Oryctolagus cuniculus: one gene and its partners. The protein of the gene in region 2 purifies or fractionates together with the protein of the main gene of each other region. This does not show direct contact. Links are inferred from orthologs where the notes say so. Each region holds a gene or a part of one and is shown on either strand. Other genes may lie near its edges. The genes, in order: KLF5, RARA and PML.

Region 1 (4,001 bases), on a different chromosome or scaffold from region 2:
AAGCCTCTTACAAAATTATTTACACCGTTTGTCATCTATTTACACATTTTAAGAGCAACTCTTCTAACAAACAAAACTATAATTTATCAAGTTATGAAAGTTGTTTTCTAAAAAAATGTACTATATTACCACAAAATAAATAAAGATAAACAATATTTTTAAAACAAAATTAAATTTTCATTTCAATTAAGACCCCTTTTGGCATTTTGCTTATGGATTCTGCCCTTTGGTTAACAGCATCAGCATCACATTACTGTTTTATATTGCATATATGTAGCACTTGCTGCCTTACGTTTTCAACATAGCATTTCTATTTAAAGGCAGACACTGAGTCAGTATTAACAGATTAACTAAACTGCACTGTAATTTAGATTAAATTACTGTGTCTCACTGTATATTACATGCAAAACCCACATAAATTGTCATTTATCTGACAGTACTGAACGAGCAAACATCTCAGTATAAGAAAACATCATCAATTCAACATTGCCATATGTGAAAACTACAGTCCTTCTTAAAAACGATACTGTGTTTAGCTTATTGTAAGAGGTTTAACTTTCGTATATTGTAACTATCTTTAAGCTCTTCAGTTTACAATTCATATAAAACGTCTTTTTTATTTAAAATAAACACTCCTATTTTAATCAGTGCATGAAATTTGCTTTTAAAGTTCATTTGAATGATTAGTATTCCTTCCCCTTAAAGAAATGAATTTGGTGATGTTGAAAGGTATCTTACGACAAATTCTGTGAATGTACTCATGGTTATTTTCAAAAAGAAATATGATTTATTTTCCCCAAAAGAATCCTAAAAAACTTGTAATAAACCTATAAAGCTGATTTGCATATTTACAAAATCTTGAATAGCAAATATAGGCAACTCATATATAAAAAAAAACCCAAAACACATTTGTTCAATGGCTATTATTTGTGAATTGCCAGGTACTGCTGCGCACCTATCGGGAATCATCTATCCTCAAAAAACCTACTCGACGTCAAGTAAAATCTTGACACACACACAGTCTATCCATCCTTCTTCCGGCGCCTGCCAGCTGACTTGTTTACCAAACACTGTCCCGTTAAGCGATGGCGCCCCCGCCCCACCCGCATGCGGCTGCCTGTCAGGAGATGAAGCCGGCCCCAGGAAAGCCGTGACAGCGAGCGTTCCGGATTCTGACAACGACCAAACACTTTGGTATTCATACAATGTATTCCCTGTTTTCTCAAATATACAAAATATACATTTCCAGTTTTTTGTTTTGTTTTCTTATTTTATAGGAACAGGTTAAGTCTGTAGCGGAAAAGGTGGCCAGGAGGGCTGCGGAGCGTGGGGCGGCTGGCGGCGGCGCTCAGTTCTGGTGCCGCTTCATGTGCAGGGCCAGGTGGTCCGAGCGTGAGAAGCTGCGGTTGCACACCCCGCACTGGAAGGGCTTGGCGCCCGTGTGCTTCCGGTAGTGGCGAGTCAGCTCGTCGGAGCGCGCGAACCTCCAGTCGCAGCCTTCCCAGGTGCACTTGTACGGCTTCTCACCTGTGGCAACCAACAAAAGGGGTCAGGTGGCCTGCTTGGAAGACAGACGTCGTAGACAGCACCTGAGCAGCACGGCTTTGGGTTTAAATCGGGGGCCAAGTCAGGCAGGGAAGCTCCCGAGTTCCATGATGAACTGAATCAACATTGAATCCCCTCTCATTGACCTAGGGAAGTGCCATTCCATGTATGGCATTTAACAAGTATTTATGCAAAGAAAAAATATTCTGCGGGCCTTTGAGGAACCGAACAATGGCAACTATTAGGCAAATGCAAGACGAACCAGCGCCTTTATTTCTATATACCCCTGGCACACACATTCCATGAAATGATGAGATGACCTTGAGTGGCCTCATTGGACACACACAGGTTCTGCTATACTAGGACTAGGTAGAACTGCTGTAGTAGGACTAAGAGCTAAAACATGGGATAGGGAGGGGAAAAGTTTTGGGGCTCATCGAAAAGGGATTGCTCAAATCTCCTTAACAACGAATTTCGGGTACCACAACTCTATTTGAAACCAGATCACAAAATTTGGTATCGATAATATTGAAACAACCACAACAACTCTAACATTTGCTGATCTATGAATTTTTGTCAAGTGTTAAACCAAAAAAAATGATCAAAACTTATCCCACAGCCAATCTGCCAAGCATCTTCTTAAATTCCAGGTATGGTCTGGAATGCTTGGGTACAACAGTGAATAAAATCTCTCATCTGATCTACCTATGCTAGTCTTTCCCAGCTCTCTTCATTGGAACAGCGGATGGATACCTGAGCCCCTTCCATTCTGCAATTTGTATTATTCCTAATGTACTCCAAAGTTTGCTAGCTGTTTCACTTTCAAAACTACTTAATATTTATAGCAGTCTTAATTCTGTTTTAAGATTAATCCTGAGATCATGTAGTCCCCTAAATGAATGCTAAATATATCCTGAATATAGGAAATACTAATTACTGTTCAACGAAAGACTATTTCCTATATTCATATTTTATTTTGTTACAATTACCTATGAACATCAGTAGCTTTTAAAGTTAAGAATATGAGATGAATTTGCAGGTTAAAGCAGGATTCGTTTACAGCTGAGTTTTAAATGAGACACCTTTTAAACTGACTCTTAAATAAATAAAATCCCATAAAGACATAAGAAAGCCAGAACACCCAACCTTCACCATCTCCAGCTACTTTTCCTACCTCTGCTCTCCTGGCTCAGACCTAAGACCTTTTTTATTTTTAATTTACTTCTTGGTTCCTATCAACTCTATTTTTAAAAAATGTACATCTCAACTCTGGTGGGCACTCCCTTCCAACCCCAGCCTCAGTAAATGCTAACTTGAAATTTAAGCTAATACATTCAAACCTAAAATGACAGGAGAAATAAGCCACATTTCTTTCACATATATTTACATAAAATCTGATACACAGAAATATTAATACTAGTAAATGCAGCTAACATGTTTCAGACACAAATAAAATGGGAAAATAATTTGACAGAAGTGTTTATTTTTTGTTTCTTGTGAAAGCTAAATCACAGAAATATATTGGCTAAATACTGTCACTTAATGGAAAGTTATTTCTGATGTTTCCAACAAGGACAAAAACTTCCTAAAGTGCCCCAATTTTAAAAGAAATCATTCTAGTCTTTTGAATAATTAAATAGCAGCAGAACTGAATTTTCAAAGTTTATTTAAGAAACAAGGGACACTAGACTCTCTTTGTTCACTATTTTTATTGGCTTTGAAGCAATAAACTGCACCAATATTTTTAAAAGTTTACTTTACTGATTAGTTGAAATACAGTAGCCATTAAAGTTCCTAAAACACTTGGGGTTTTACTCTCGATTTATGTACATCTATAGATTATTCAGCCAAGAATACTACCACTGTGTGGAACATTAGTTATTGGGGCCAAGTCTTACTATGAAAGCAAGGACAACCATTCCCCACTTTGGGCACTTTCTGCGGGATTTGTTCAAGTGTCAACACTGTTCAAGGAAAACATCGTGGAGGAAGCTGGTACCCAATTTCTGGCCAAACAGCAGACTCAGGCCTTTCTTCGGCAGCCAGAAACACTATACAGTACTTCTGGGAAGCCCAGCTGACTTCCTTTACGTTGTACTTCGACAGGACAGAACTTCCAAGGTTTAATTGGATTTTTACAGAATCGCTTTCCAATACCAGCAATTTAAAATATTTAGTTAAGCTCTTTCAACATCAACTGCATTTTTAAGTTCTCATGCTGTTAATGTGAAACCTTCCAAAGGCAAAAAGAAAAAAATGACAACTTTGCACAGCATCAAGACAAGCTTCAACTTTATCTCAAATAAAATATGTACTTTTTAATATTCCATTTTCAAGGCATAGGATTATCTTTGCTAGGGTCCCTAATCTTTGGGGGAAAACGTCCAAGTTACATATACATACTGTCCACACTGAGAAAGCCATTTAACATATTTTATCAACATGTGAAGCAGAAA
Region 2 (5,637 bases):
GCTCCATGGCAACGGCCACGCAGACAAGGAGGCGTCTGTCAGCGTCATTTATCTCTGACATCATCAATCACTGGTCACCACGGCAACACCCATGATTCAACACAAGAGGGTCTCCCTGTCCAGCCCTTCCCTCCCTTCCTCCCTCCCTCAGGCCTCAGCTGAGCCCAAACGGAAGACCCCATTTCTCTGGGACCTGAGAAGTCCCAATTCTGTCTTCAAACTCCAGATCTTCAGCTTCACCACATCCTGGCTTTTCAATCCTTATGCAAAGCCCTCCAAACCCACCCAGCACCCCTCGGATCCCAGGCCTCTCCCCTAAGACACACGCTCGGAAAGGACTCAGGGAACCCTGGGAGCAAAAACACACACACGCACATGCAAGGACACACAGCCAGTCGCACATGCACACTGGACCTGCACACACACACAGCCAGCCAGAATCTCACAGGTCCCTGCAGCTTTAGCCACACGCCCCAGCACGCATGCTCAGACACACGTGCACACACAGCCACAGGGCCCAACGGCCCGGCCTGCAGGAGCACCACGGGCCCCACCCACGGCCAGTCCGGCCTCCGCCCGTGGCACTCACACTCCTTGGACATGCCCACTTCGAAGCACTTCTGCAGCCGGCAGTACTGGCAGCGGTTCCGGGTCACCTTGTTGATGATGCAGTTCTTGTCGCGGTGACACGTGTACACCATGTTCTTCTGGATGCTGCGGCGGAAGAAGCCCTGGGCACGGAGAGGGGAGAGTCAGGTCACCAACACCCACAGCGGGAGTGGCGCCCAGCCGGCAGTCGCAGCTGGGGAAAGTGGGCCAGGCCAGCGGCTGCTCCCAAGCCTTCGCCCATCACCCCCCTGAGCAGGCCAGAAAAGATGGGGCGATGAGTCACCCCTGGGAGAAGCCCGCTACTGCCTCAGCGCTACGAGGTGGGCAGGAGTCTTCCCCCAGCCTCCATCCACACACCTGACCCCTTCCCTCTAGGGAGAAGGACCTCGGGCTGCTGCTGAGTCAGGAATTGTAACCCGTGGGGCTGGCTGGGACAGAGGCGGGAATCTGGAGCCCACAGCCTGGACTCAGACACGTGAGCTGGCCAGAGACGGAGGCACTCATGCACTCACACACGCTCAGGAGCCAGGTGGCAAGACCCAGTCACCACCCGGACAGACGTGCATGAAGCACTCAGAGATGGACCCGGGCTGGTCAGAGGCCCCACACCCAGGCTCCCCAGGGACACAGATGAGGAACAAGTCAGAAACGACCTGACAGAGCAGGCAGACACACACAGTCTAGGTCCTGAGCTGTGCCCTGAACCTGTGTCCCACACCGACAGGTAGCTGATGGGCAGCCCAGAGCCCCAAGACTGTACAGCTTCCAAACCCTAATATCTAGAGAGAGAAACTGGTGTGGAGGCTCTGGTCCTAGGAAGAGGACCAGCCAGGCCCAGAGCTGCTGGGGCCTAACATGAGGACGGGAAAAATGCAGACGCTGGGGAGCCCACAGCCTCAGCACCTGTAGGGGAAGCCGAGGCAGGGTTCCGCTCCTAACTGCCGCCTGCCAGGCTGTCATGGCGAGGTGCAGGCAGGGCCGCCGGGGGCAGGCCTCCTGGGTCCCCAGCCAAGAGCCGGTCGGCAGCCAGCTCACCATGGCAACCTGGGCAGCGGTGGCAGAGCGGAGCACGCCCTGCCGGCTGGAGCATGGAGACGGGGGCGGGGGGAGCTCGGGCAGGAGGGGGCCTCTGGTTTGGGGGGAGCCCTGCTCATCTATGGGGGAGCTTCTGTTGCTGGCACCCCCTCCTCCTTCAAGGCTGCTGGCAACTTCCACACACAAGCAAGAGCAGCAGCATCAGGGACAGCCCCTGCCCTCAACCGAATTCTCCCAGGGCGTGACAGCGGGGACATCCCATTTATCTAAGCAAGACTGCCCTTCCCAGAGTCCCCAGTCTCACCTTGCAGCCCTCACAGGCGCTGACCCCATAGTGGTAGCCAGAGGATTTGTCTTGGCAGACAAAGCAGGGCTTGTAGATGCGGGGGAGGGGGGGTGGCGAGGGAGGGCTGGGCACTATCTCTTCCGAACTGCTGCTCTGGGTCTCAATGGCTGGAGAGAGAGAAAGGGAGGGGGCGGTTAGAGACCAGGCGCCATCCCTGATGCCCTGCCCCGCCCTGCTCAGGGTCTCCCTCCAGAGCCTCTCCCAGCCTCACTACTGCTGGCAGGGACGGTCTCGGGAAAGCTGGGACTCCCCAGTCAAGCTTGGGGGAAGCCTTGGGACCCCATCACGCCCGTCTACTTCCCCAGGACCCCGTCCTCAACACAGAAAGCTGAGATCATAAACCATCAGATGTGGGTGTGTGTTGTGTACTGGGCTCTGCCTGGGAGGAGGTGGTCCGGCCCTATTCTTAGGCCTTGCCTCGGGTGGCCTGGCCGGTACTCCCCCAAGTTAGGAAGGAGTTAAGGCTGGATGAGGAGGGAGGAGAGAAGACACAAGCTGGGGGCAGAGGAAATGGGGGTCAACAGGATATTCAAAGCCAGCCACTCCCTCACCCCCTCTGCTTCCGCTTGCCCCTCCCTCCACCCCCCTCTGCCAACAGCCAGGGCCCCTCCTCCACCCAAACAATCCCCAGGCCGAGGACCCAGGCAGACCCAGGCGGGTGTACAAAGAAGAATCCCGAAGGCTGGGGCACAGCAGGTGGGGGTCCCCTGAGATAGGTGGAGAGACCACCTGGGGACAGAGCCCTAGAAGCCCATCACCCTGGGTGCCCCCTGCCTCAGGGGAGGCAGCATGACAAAGGGGGGTCTGTTCCCATCAATGCTCTGTCTGTCTGGCTTCAACAGTATGTCCGGGTTACCACCCCTCCCCTCCTGTTAATTCAGCCCCCAGAGGGCAGCCAGGAGGGGTGACCTAGCCAGCAGGAGCTGTCCCCCACTGACCAAAGCCTCCCCAGTGCCTGGCTCTCTGCCATCGCCCCAGGCAGAACAGGGATGGGCTGGCAGGGGTGGGGGGTGCAGTGTGCTGGATGAGAACCGTACAGCTTCTCCTGCAGCCCTGGCCACCTCCACCTGTGCAAGGCCTAGGAAGGGTGAGGATGCGATCCTGACAGCCCAGCTCCACGCCCCAGCCCACAGCTCCTGGCTCAAACACCTCACGGCCGCGCGTCACCCCTTAGCCGCAGACACGCCCGAGACCCAGGCTAACAGCCTTGGCACCAGAGCCCACATCAGCCTGACAGCCCTGCCCTGCCCAGAGACCAGCCTGCAGCAAAGGGACAGTAGATGCTGTCCCCCACTGGTCCACAGATTCACTCCTCACTGACCTCTCCCAGAACCTCAGCTCCTCATCCCCACACCCAACCGCCCTGGTTTTCCCCCCCATCTCATTCTCACCAGGCCAGACAAGCAAATCAGACAGGCAGGGAGGCCTGAGGACAGCTGCTGGGGGGGGGGGGGTTGGGGTTGGGGGGCCTGGGTGAGGCCAGGAGGCAGAGGGGTGAGCCACAAAGAAGCCCTTTGTTGTGCTAACTTTTTCCAAGACGTAAAAACAGTAACAATAGACAATCCAGACTGGGGGGGGGGGTGTCAAGGACATGGGGGGGGCAGCCATGGCCTAGAATCCCCGCTCAGCATTCCAACAAGCAGAGGAAGAAGGCACTGGCCTCCCTTGTTAATCCACCCTTTGCCCTGGGCCCCGCCTCCTCCCAAGGCCCCACCCCAAAAATGAGCCAGACCAGCAGCAGCGGCAGGACCCAGGGGGCAGGGGGCAGGGAGCAGAGTGGAGGCCGGGAGGCGGGGCCCGGGGAGAGGCAGGGCTCTAAGGCCCGGGAAAGGCACACAGAAATTGGGAGCTAAGGCAAAGTCCAGAGGGTGTGTGCAGAACTGGAGGAAAGTGCTTTTTAAAATGATCTTTGGCAAGACGGGGGAGACAACCCACGCAGGGGCTACAGTTCGGACTCGGTGACACCTCCCACCTCCCTTCCGGCCACTGACCGCAGGCCCTTGAGGCTGCAACACCCCAGCCTGAGAATATCCCCACCTTTCTCCCAGGTAACCCAGCTCTGAGGTTTCTGGCTCTGCCCTTTGAATCCAGAGCTTGGGGCCAAGGCCTCCAGCCCGCAGCCTAGGAAGACCAGGTAAAACGACCCAAGGCAAAAGTGTGAGGGACCCCAGGCGCCCCTCAGTTTCTGCGCGAGTTAGGATACAGCAGGAACTCCTGCACTCGGGAGAGGCAGGGAGAGGCCGCCCGACCCGGCCTCTCCCCTAACCTCCCTACCCAGAGGCCCTGGCCCACAAATCCCTCTCCAGCTGCAGAAGGGCTCAGGCGGGAGAAGAACCACACCTTCTCAGCTCAAAGTTCCAGCGCCCAGCGGAGGGCTGGAAGCGGACCAGGAAGCCAGGCGTCCCCTCCCGCCGCCGCCAGGGCGCCCCTCCCCCGCACCTCCCTCCTGGCCGCCGGGCGAGCTGAGCGCTCCGGATTCCCCACGCCCCAGAGCCGTTCGTTCGCAGGCTCGCACAAGGGGCCGGTTTCCTGGAGGAGATCAGCAGGAAATCAGCCGGGCCCCCGGCCAGCGACTCCCCTTCCCAATCCAGCTGGCGCCCTCTCCTCTGCAGCTCCCTAAACAGCCCCCGGGGAGGGCTGGGGAGTGGGCTCTGGGCCCTCGGTGCTGCCCTTCCTCCTCCTGGGAAGCGGGTGGGGGTGGCTCCGGGTGTAGCCCGGCGGCGGAAGAAGGCCCCTAGCCCAGCGGCCGGCTGATAAGCATCTCCCCCTCCCCCCACTACGGGCATCCACGTGCTTCACATTCTTGGACGTCTGGGAGCGGGTGGAGGCGTGAGCGGCGCAGACGGGTGGGGGACAGATGGGGAGCCACGTCCTGTGCACCCCTTGTTCTCTAGTGCATGAGAAGGGGACTGCGGGGGGGGGGGCAAGGTCCAGGGCCCTGCAAGACCCAAAAGGTCTCCTGCCACAGCTAAGCCTCTCCTGCAACCCTTGGCAGAGGGGAAGGGGGAGGGGAGAATTCTCAGGGAGGGGCTGCAAGGCAGGTCCAGGCGCTGGGAGACCTCCACCCACACCAACGGGCTCCTTCCAGGGTGGCTAACATTGCCCCCACAAACTCCATACTGCGCTGGGTCCTGACCTTGGCCTCCAGGTCCTGCTCCTTCCTGTGCCTCAGAGCAGCCCCCACACCGCCATCACAGCCAACCCCCAGCCTTGGGGACTTCACTGACACCCCCACCCAGAGATTACAGGAACAGGAAGCCCAGGTCTGTGGCTCTATCCCACCCCAGACCCCACTTCCCCACGTCCAGCGGTTGGGGGAGTCATCGGCTGCCTCACTCTGGCCCTCCTCCCCCTCTAGTTCAGTGCCAGGAAGAACTGAGCTGTCCCCACCAGACACTCAGGGAGAGCCGGGCTGGAGCCCCAGGGCTCGGGTCCCAGCTTCCACCCAGTCCTGTGGAGAAGGCAGTGGAAGGTGTAGTAGCCCTGATGACCCTGTCCCTGTTACCCCCACCGAGCCGGCTCTGGTAGAATGGTCCTGGCATCACCCCTCATCTCTGTCCCCTTTTCCAAAGCCTGCGGTCACTCACCCTCCCTTCTCCCCTCTGCAGCTTCTACAGCCTTTTCTGCCCTGGAGGCAAAGGTCAGGG
Region 3 (5,628 bases), on a different chromosome or scaffold from region 2:
GAGCCAGGAGCTTCTTCCAGGTCTCCCACGAGGGTGCAGGGGCCCAAGGACTTGGGCCATCTTCCACTGCTTTCCCAGGCCACAGCAGAGAGCTGGATGGGAAGTGCAGCGGCTGGGACTTGAACCAGCACCTGTATGGGATGCCGGCACTGCAGGCTTTACCCACTACACTATATCTCCAGCCCCTCTTTTTCTTTTTTTTAAGAGAAAACTGCTAGGACTAATAAAAATCTCAACAAGATGGTGAATAACACGAACATACACAATGAGCTTTAGTGAATGCTCATGATAATCATAAATTATCACTAAAAAGGTCCCATTCTCAATCATTTTGAGAGTTTAAGTATGAGTCTAAGACCCATCTGAATACAGCTACAAAATCCAAAAGATGTAACAAGAGATGAAACCAATTCTCCCCAGATTTAATGCAATGCAAACCAAAATCTCAATGAATACACGAGTTTTTAAAAACCTCATCAACTATAATAGCCAAAGAAAAGCAAACCTTTTTTTGGAAGAATGGGGGACAGCTCCTGAAACCCAGGTAGCGGGACAGATTGGAGCGGGCGTGGGCAGCTCAGCGCAGACACACCCCTGGCTGCACACACCAGGCAGAGGGCAAAGGTCAGCATCGGAACACACAGGTGCCTGGAGACAAGCGCTACACTCACTCTTCGAAAGAAAAAAAAACAACAACAAACAAACCCAAGTGCAGCTCCTAGTAACCCACCAAGGAGGAGACACACCAGCCACTAAGCACCACGCCCGTCAAAAGAAACAAAACCGAAACCAGTGACAGCAGGTGGTGAGGGAGGGGGGACAGAAGCGGGGACTCGCCGCTGGTGCAGAAGTCTCTCTGGAGGCAGAGCCCAGCCCCTGGCAGTCAGCAGGTGCACAGCTCTACCCTGCCGAGCGAGGAGGAGCCCCTTCCCACGCACACGGACCCCTCAGAGACTTCTCTCATCTGCATCCGAGAGGGGGCTCTCCGAACGCGCCTGGGACACGGGCGTTAAAAGACACGCTTCTGTTGGCGCAAACATTTTGGGAGTCCTCGCACAGCCTTCTCACAGCCCTCATTTTCTGTGAACATGTTACAAATCTCTGGTCTCCACGGAAACTGAAATACTCAAACTCATCAGCACAGTTCCCCCAGCAGATGACGGAAGCTCGGAGACTCTGCGCCCTCTCTCTCACTCTCTCGCTCTCTTAAATAAATCTTATTGGTGGCCGGCGCCGTGGCTCACTAGGCTAATCTTCCGCCTTGCGGCGCCGGCACACCAGGTTCTAGTCCCGGTCAGGGCGCCGGATTCTGTCCTGGTTGCCCCTCTTCCAGTCCAGCTCTCTGCTGTGGCCCGGGAGTGCAGTGGAGGATGGCCCAAGTGCTTGGTCCCTGCACCCCATGGGAGACCAGGAGAAGCACCTGGCTCCTGGCTCCTGCCATCGGATCAGCGCAGTGCGCCGGCCGAAGCGTGCCGGCTGCGGCGGCCATTGGAGGGTGAACCAACGGCAAAGGAAGACCTTTCTCTCTGTCTCTCTCTCTCACTGTCCACTCTGCATAGGAATGGTTACATGCGTAAAAACAGAATGGAGCTTGCTGGTTAATACAGTAGTTCTGACCTGATTTGGTCGTCTTTGCTGTGGCGTCTGCCCTGGCTGCCGGTGCTCCGGCTCTGACCGCTGCACCTGCTCCTGGAATCCAGCGCCTCTGGCGGTCTGGTGACAGGTGTCTCCCACTGGGGTCACCACCACGGACCCCCCGATCTGCAGACCCCGGGCCCCCAGCAGCTCCGGCATGCCCCCACCCAGCACCCACGCCCGGCCGGGGCCACTCACCTGGTCAGCATCGGGCTGCGGTGGTTGGGGTTGGAGCAGAAGATGTTGTTGGACTTGCGGGTGCTCTCCAGGAACTGCAGCACTGACTGGCTGCGCAGCTCGGCCAGCGGCCGCGCCTCGTGCTTCAGGAACCACTGGTGCGCCTCGAAGCACCCGGAGCACAGGAGCTGCTCGCACTCGAAGCACCAGAAGTCGGCGGGCTCCTTGCAGCGCGTGCAGGCGGCCTGCATGTCCACCACCTGCTGGTGCACGGCCAGGCGCCGCTGCAGACTCTCGAAGAAGATGTTGTCCAGGACGGGCGCCCCGTCTAGGGCCCGGGGCCCCTGGCAGATGGGGCAGTGCAGGCCCGGCGCCTCCAGGCACCCCGAGCACAGCGTGTGCAGGCAAGGCAGCAGCTTGGGGCACTTGGCTTGGGTGTGGCAGCCCTGGCACTGCAGGAACTGGAAGTCTTCCTCCTCGGCTTGCTGGGGGAGGGAGGACAACAGGGAGGAGGTAAGGCCTGGAAAAGTCCCAGGAGTCCCCACTCTGCAGCCGCCCATCCGTCCCTGTGGCTGGGGGGGGGGGACCGGACCATCCCCTGCCACCCTGTCATTGCTCCACGCACGACCCAAGTACCCCATCTATTCAGCATGTGCTCATTGAGACCCAGCGGTGACCCAGGACACACCTCCACCTCCACGGAGCTCAGTCTGGATGGTAGGTGAGCCAGGTACCCCCTTCTACACAGATAGGGGGTTCCCCCCAAAGCTGCTAAGCACTGAGCCACCTTAGCCCTAATTCCCATCCCTAACTATCAAACTCTGAAAACAGAGGCCCACCAGCCCCCTGGGACCCCAGGGTGTGCACACAGCAGCACCGTTCCCAGCAGCCGGGTGCGCGAACCCAGGCCTCGCTCGACCCAGAGCTGGGCAGTGCAATGCGTTCTGCACGTGAAGGGACTGTCCCTCACGCAGCCCCGGGACAGAACGAACTCTGGATGCCTGAAGCTTGAAGACATCACGCTGAACAAACTACGCCAGACACGCAGAGAAACCCCGACTCGGGCCCGCTTACAGAAACAGCCCAGACGGGCACGTTCACAGTGGGAAAGTGGGTTAGAGGTGACCCGGGAGCCAGGCGCTACCGCGTGCAGGGCACAGTTTCCAGGGTGACGACAAAGCTGGACTTGGGGGGCAGGGTGGCCGAGGGTGAAATGCGCTCACTTAGGAGGGAGTCACTGGTCACTTCTTCCTGATGTCTCTCTTGCCACAACATATATATATAAAAAAAGTGCAGCCCCGGAAGTACTTCATCTATCACCTGGCACTAGGCAGTGCTAACTAGTCGGTGCTAACGGTGCTAACTTAGTGCTAACTAGCACTGCTAAGCCACCGATTCTTGGCTGTAATAACGCAAGGCCGTGCTTCCGAGCGTTCCCAGAGCCAGCCAACCGCACAGTGCCTGTGGGTGTGTGGGGGAGGTGGGGCGCAGGCGGGAAGGGGGTTCCCAGCAGGTCACCTGGAGGCTTCCGGAAAGAGATCACAGAAGCCGCGCGGCCCCTGCCCATTCACCTGTTCCGGGCGCCCACCGGGCCGCCGACTTCCACCTCCAACTTGGGAACTTGGAGTTGCTAGTCCCCTCCCTTTCCCACGCGGGCCCCAGGCGAGAGGCCGGGCACCTCTTTTGGTGCCTGGTCCTTTGTCCTGGTGCACTCTTTGAGGTACTTGGCCAAGTCTCCCGTTGCACCCCCCTCTTCCCACCTATCCCCCCTCCTCCCCCACCTCCCAGCGACCCCCTCCCCCGCCATGTGAGCGCAGTACCTCTGCGGGGCTGGGGCTACGTGGGGCACCTTCGGAGCGCAACTCCGGGGACGCCATGGTAGGGGTGCGGGTCGGGCCGGCGTCGCGCTGGGAGCCCGGGGACCCGGCGGGCGCGGGATCCTGCTGCATGGGTCCGGTTCACTTTCGATTCTCCGTCTGCATCGGGGAGGGCGGGAGAAACGGCACGAGAGGCTGAGTCAGGCCAAAGGGGAGGCGCCGGCCAGGGCCCGCCTCTCGGGAGGAAGTGACTTGGGGCGCGGGGAGGGGTCGCGACTGGGGCTGGGGGACTTTCCACTTTGATCACAGCTCCTGCAGCTCTGGCCCAGCCCCAGCAGGGGTATTGGGGACACAGGCCACCCAGGAGCTGACCATGTCCTCGGAGACCCCAGGCTGCAGCCCCGGCTGGGCTGGAGAGGGGGCTGGTCACTGGAGACTCAGGGCTTGGAGAGCTCGGAACGCCCTTTGATGTCGGTTTATGGGGTCCCAGCCTGCATTTCCTCTCGTTGCAGCACTGTCGCCCCCAGCTCTCCCGCCTTTGGCGTCCGGGATGCATCTCTACCCCCTGTTGATTCATCCCGTGCCCCTGTAGCTGACATCCCGGAGCGGACGCGGCTGGGACAGAGTTCTTCTGCCAGGAAGGACTCAGGCGTGAGACAGAGAGGCGCGGGCAGCAAGGCAGCAAGCTCTCGGGGGCAGGCATCGGTCGGGACCGACAGGCCCCTCTGCAGACGGAATCAGAGACGGCTTCTAGCCGCTCGGACCGAGGACAGCAAGGTCACACAGCCTGACGGAGGCAGTGCACCTGCTGGGCCAGGGGCAGCTGGGGAGATGCTGAGCGGTCAGTGCTTGGAAGGGCATGGGGTCCAGATCTTCCTCCCCCTATCCTCTTCTGCTGAGTGTGAAATTCCTGCCAAGTTTTCAGACTGGGCGAGAGAGGATTCTCCTAGGGTGTCTTCCTTAGGGGGGAGGGGAGGCTGGGGCCACCTAGGAGGTGATCAACACCGCGCTGATCCGATGGCATTATCCTGGTCTCCCTTGGGGTGCAGGGCCCAAGCACTTGGGCCATCCTCCACTGCACTCCCGGGCCACAGCAGAGAGCTGGCCTGGAAGAGGGGCAACCAGGACAGAATCCGGCTCCCCGACCGGGACTAGAACCCGGCGTGCCGGCGCCGCAAGGTGGAGGATTAGCCTAGTGAGCTGCGGCGCCGGCCAATTCTGGGGTTCTATAGCAGCTCCTCCAGCCGGGACTTGTCTACGCCACCACCCACCCCGAGCCAGCCGGGCTGTGTGGACACCTCGAGGAGCGTCCATCTAAGGCCAAGTACCAGCCAGGAGCAAGAGCAGGAGCAGGCCACACCCCCACGGCCCGGCCGCAGTGCGGTCCTCCCAGCGCTGGGTGGCGCCGTGCGACGGCGGGAGCAGCCCGGGCTGCCTCCTCTCCGGCCACGGCCGGGGCCGCGCAAGGGAAGCCGGAAGCGGCGGCCGCGGGGGCGGGGCCTGAGGGTTGGGGCCGGCGGTCAGCGGCGCTGGCCGCGCCCCCCTGTCAGGAGCCATGCTCGGCAGGTCTGGGTACCGGGCGCTGCCGCTCGGGGACTTTGACCGCTTCCAGCAGTCGAGCTTCGGCTTTCTGGGCTCGCAGAAGGGCTGCTGGTCCCCGGAGCGGGGCGGCGTGGGGCCGGGGGCTGGTGAGTGGCCGCCCACGCCCCAGCCCCCCGAAGGAGCGACCCCTGCTGCCCCCAGAGCTTCGGCTCTTACCTGGGCCCGTCTTGCTGCAGAGCCCTTTGCGGCTCCCCAGGCCCCATGGGCCGGGTGTCCGCCGCTCAGCCTGACCACAGCCCTGGGGCGGGGGTAGCGCGGCGCCTCCCGGGGCCGTCCTGTGCTGACCACGGCCCCCGTGTGAGGACGCCTGTCCTGGCTGCCGTGCAGACCCCAAAGAACAGCGGCTGCCTGGGAGCGGAAAGGGCAGGAAGTGACCTCGTGCCGGAGGCCAGGGCTG

Evidence for each region.
Region 1: the proteins of RARA (region 2) and KLF5 purify together in Homo sapiens (affinity purification with western blotting; 4 studies listed by BioGRID). This does not show direct contact. The link is inferred for Oryctolagus cuniculus from reciprocal best matches to the Homo sapiens genes RARA and KLF5.
Region 3: the proteins of RARA (region 2) and PML purify together in Homo sapiens (affinity purification with western blotting; 6 studies listed by BioGRID, with this or other methods). This does not show direct contact. The link is inferred for Oryctolagus cuniculus from reciprocal best matches to the Homo sapiens genes RARA and PML.

The regions. Positions count from the first base shown.
Region 1 is NC_091440.1:39,668,039-39,672,039, forward strand, and holds the end of KLF5 (Krueppel-like factor 5), read right to left. Parts: intron 1,528-4,001; coding exon 1,349-1,527; downstream 1-1,348. UniProt on the Homo sapiens protein: Transcription factor that binds to GC box promoter elements. Activates the transcription of these genes.
Region 2 is NC_091448.1:22,125,658-22,131,294, forward strand, and holds the start of RARA (retinoic acid receptor alpha), read right to left. Parts: upstream 3,614-5,637; 5' UTR 3,599-3,613; coding exon 3,382-3,598; intron 2,098-3,381; coding exon 1,949-2,097; intron 732-1,948; coding exon 590-731; intron 1-589. UniProt on the Homo sapiens protein: Receptor for retinoic acid. Retinoic acid receptors bind as heterodimers to their target response elements in response to their ligands, all-trans or 9-cis retinoic acid, and regulate gene expression in various biological processes.
Region 3 is NC_091443.1:109,482,247-109,487,874, forward strand, and holds the start of PML (protein PML), read right to left. Parts: upstream 3,827-5,628; 5' UTR 3,762-3,826; coding exon 3,633-3,761; intron 2,298-3,632; coding exon 1,834-2,297; intron 1-1,833. Other genes in the region: STOML1 (stomatin-like protein 1), read left to right, coding at 5,185-5,317.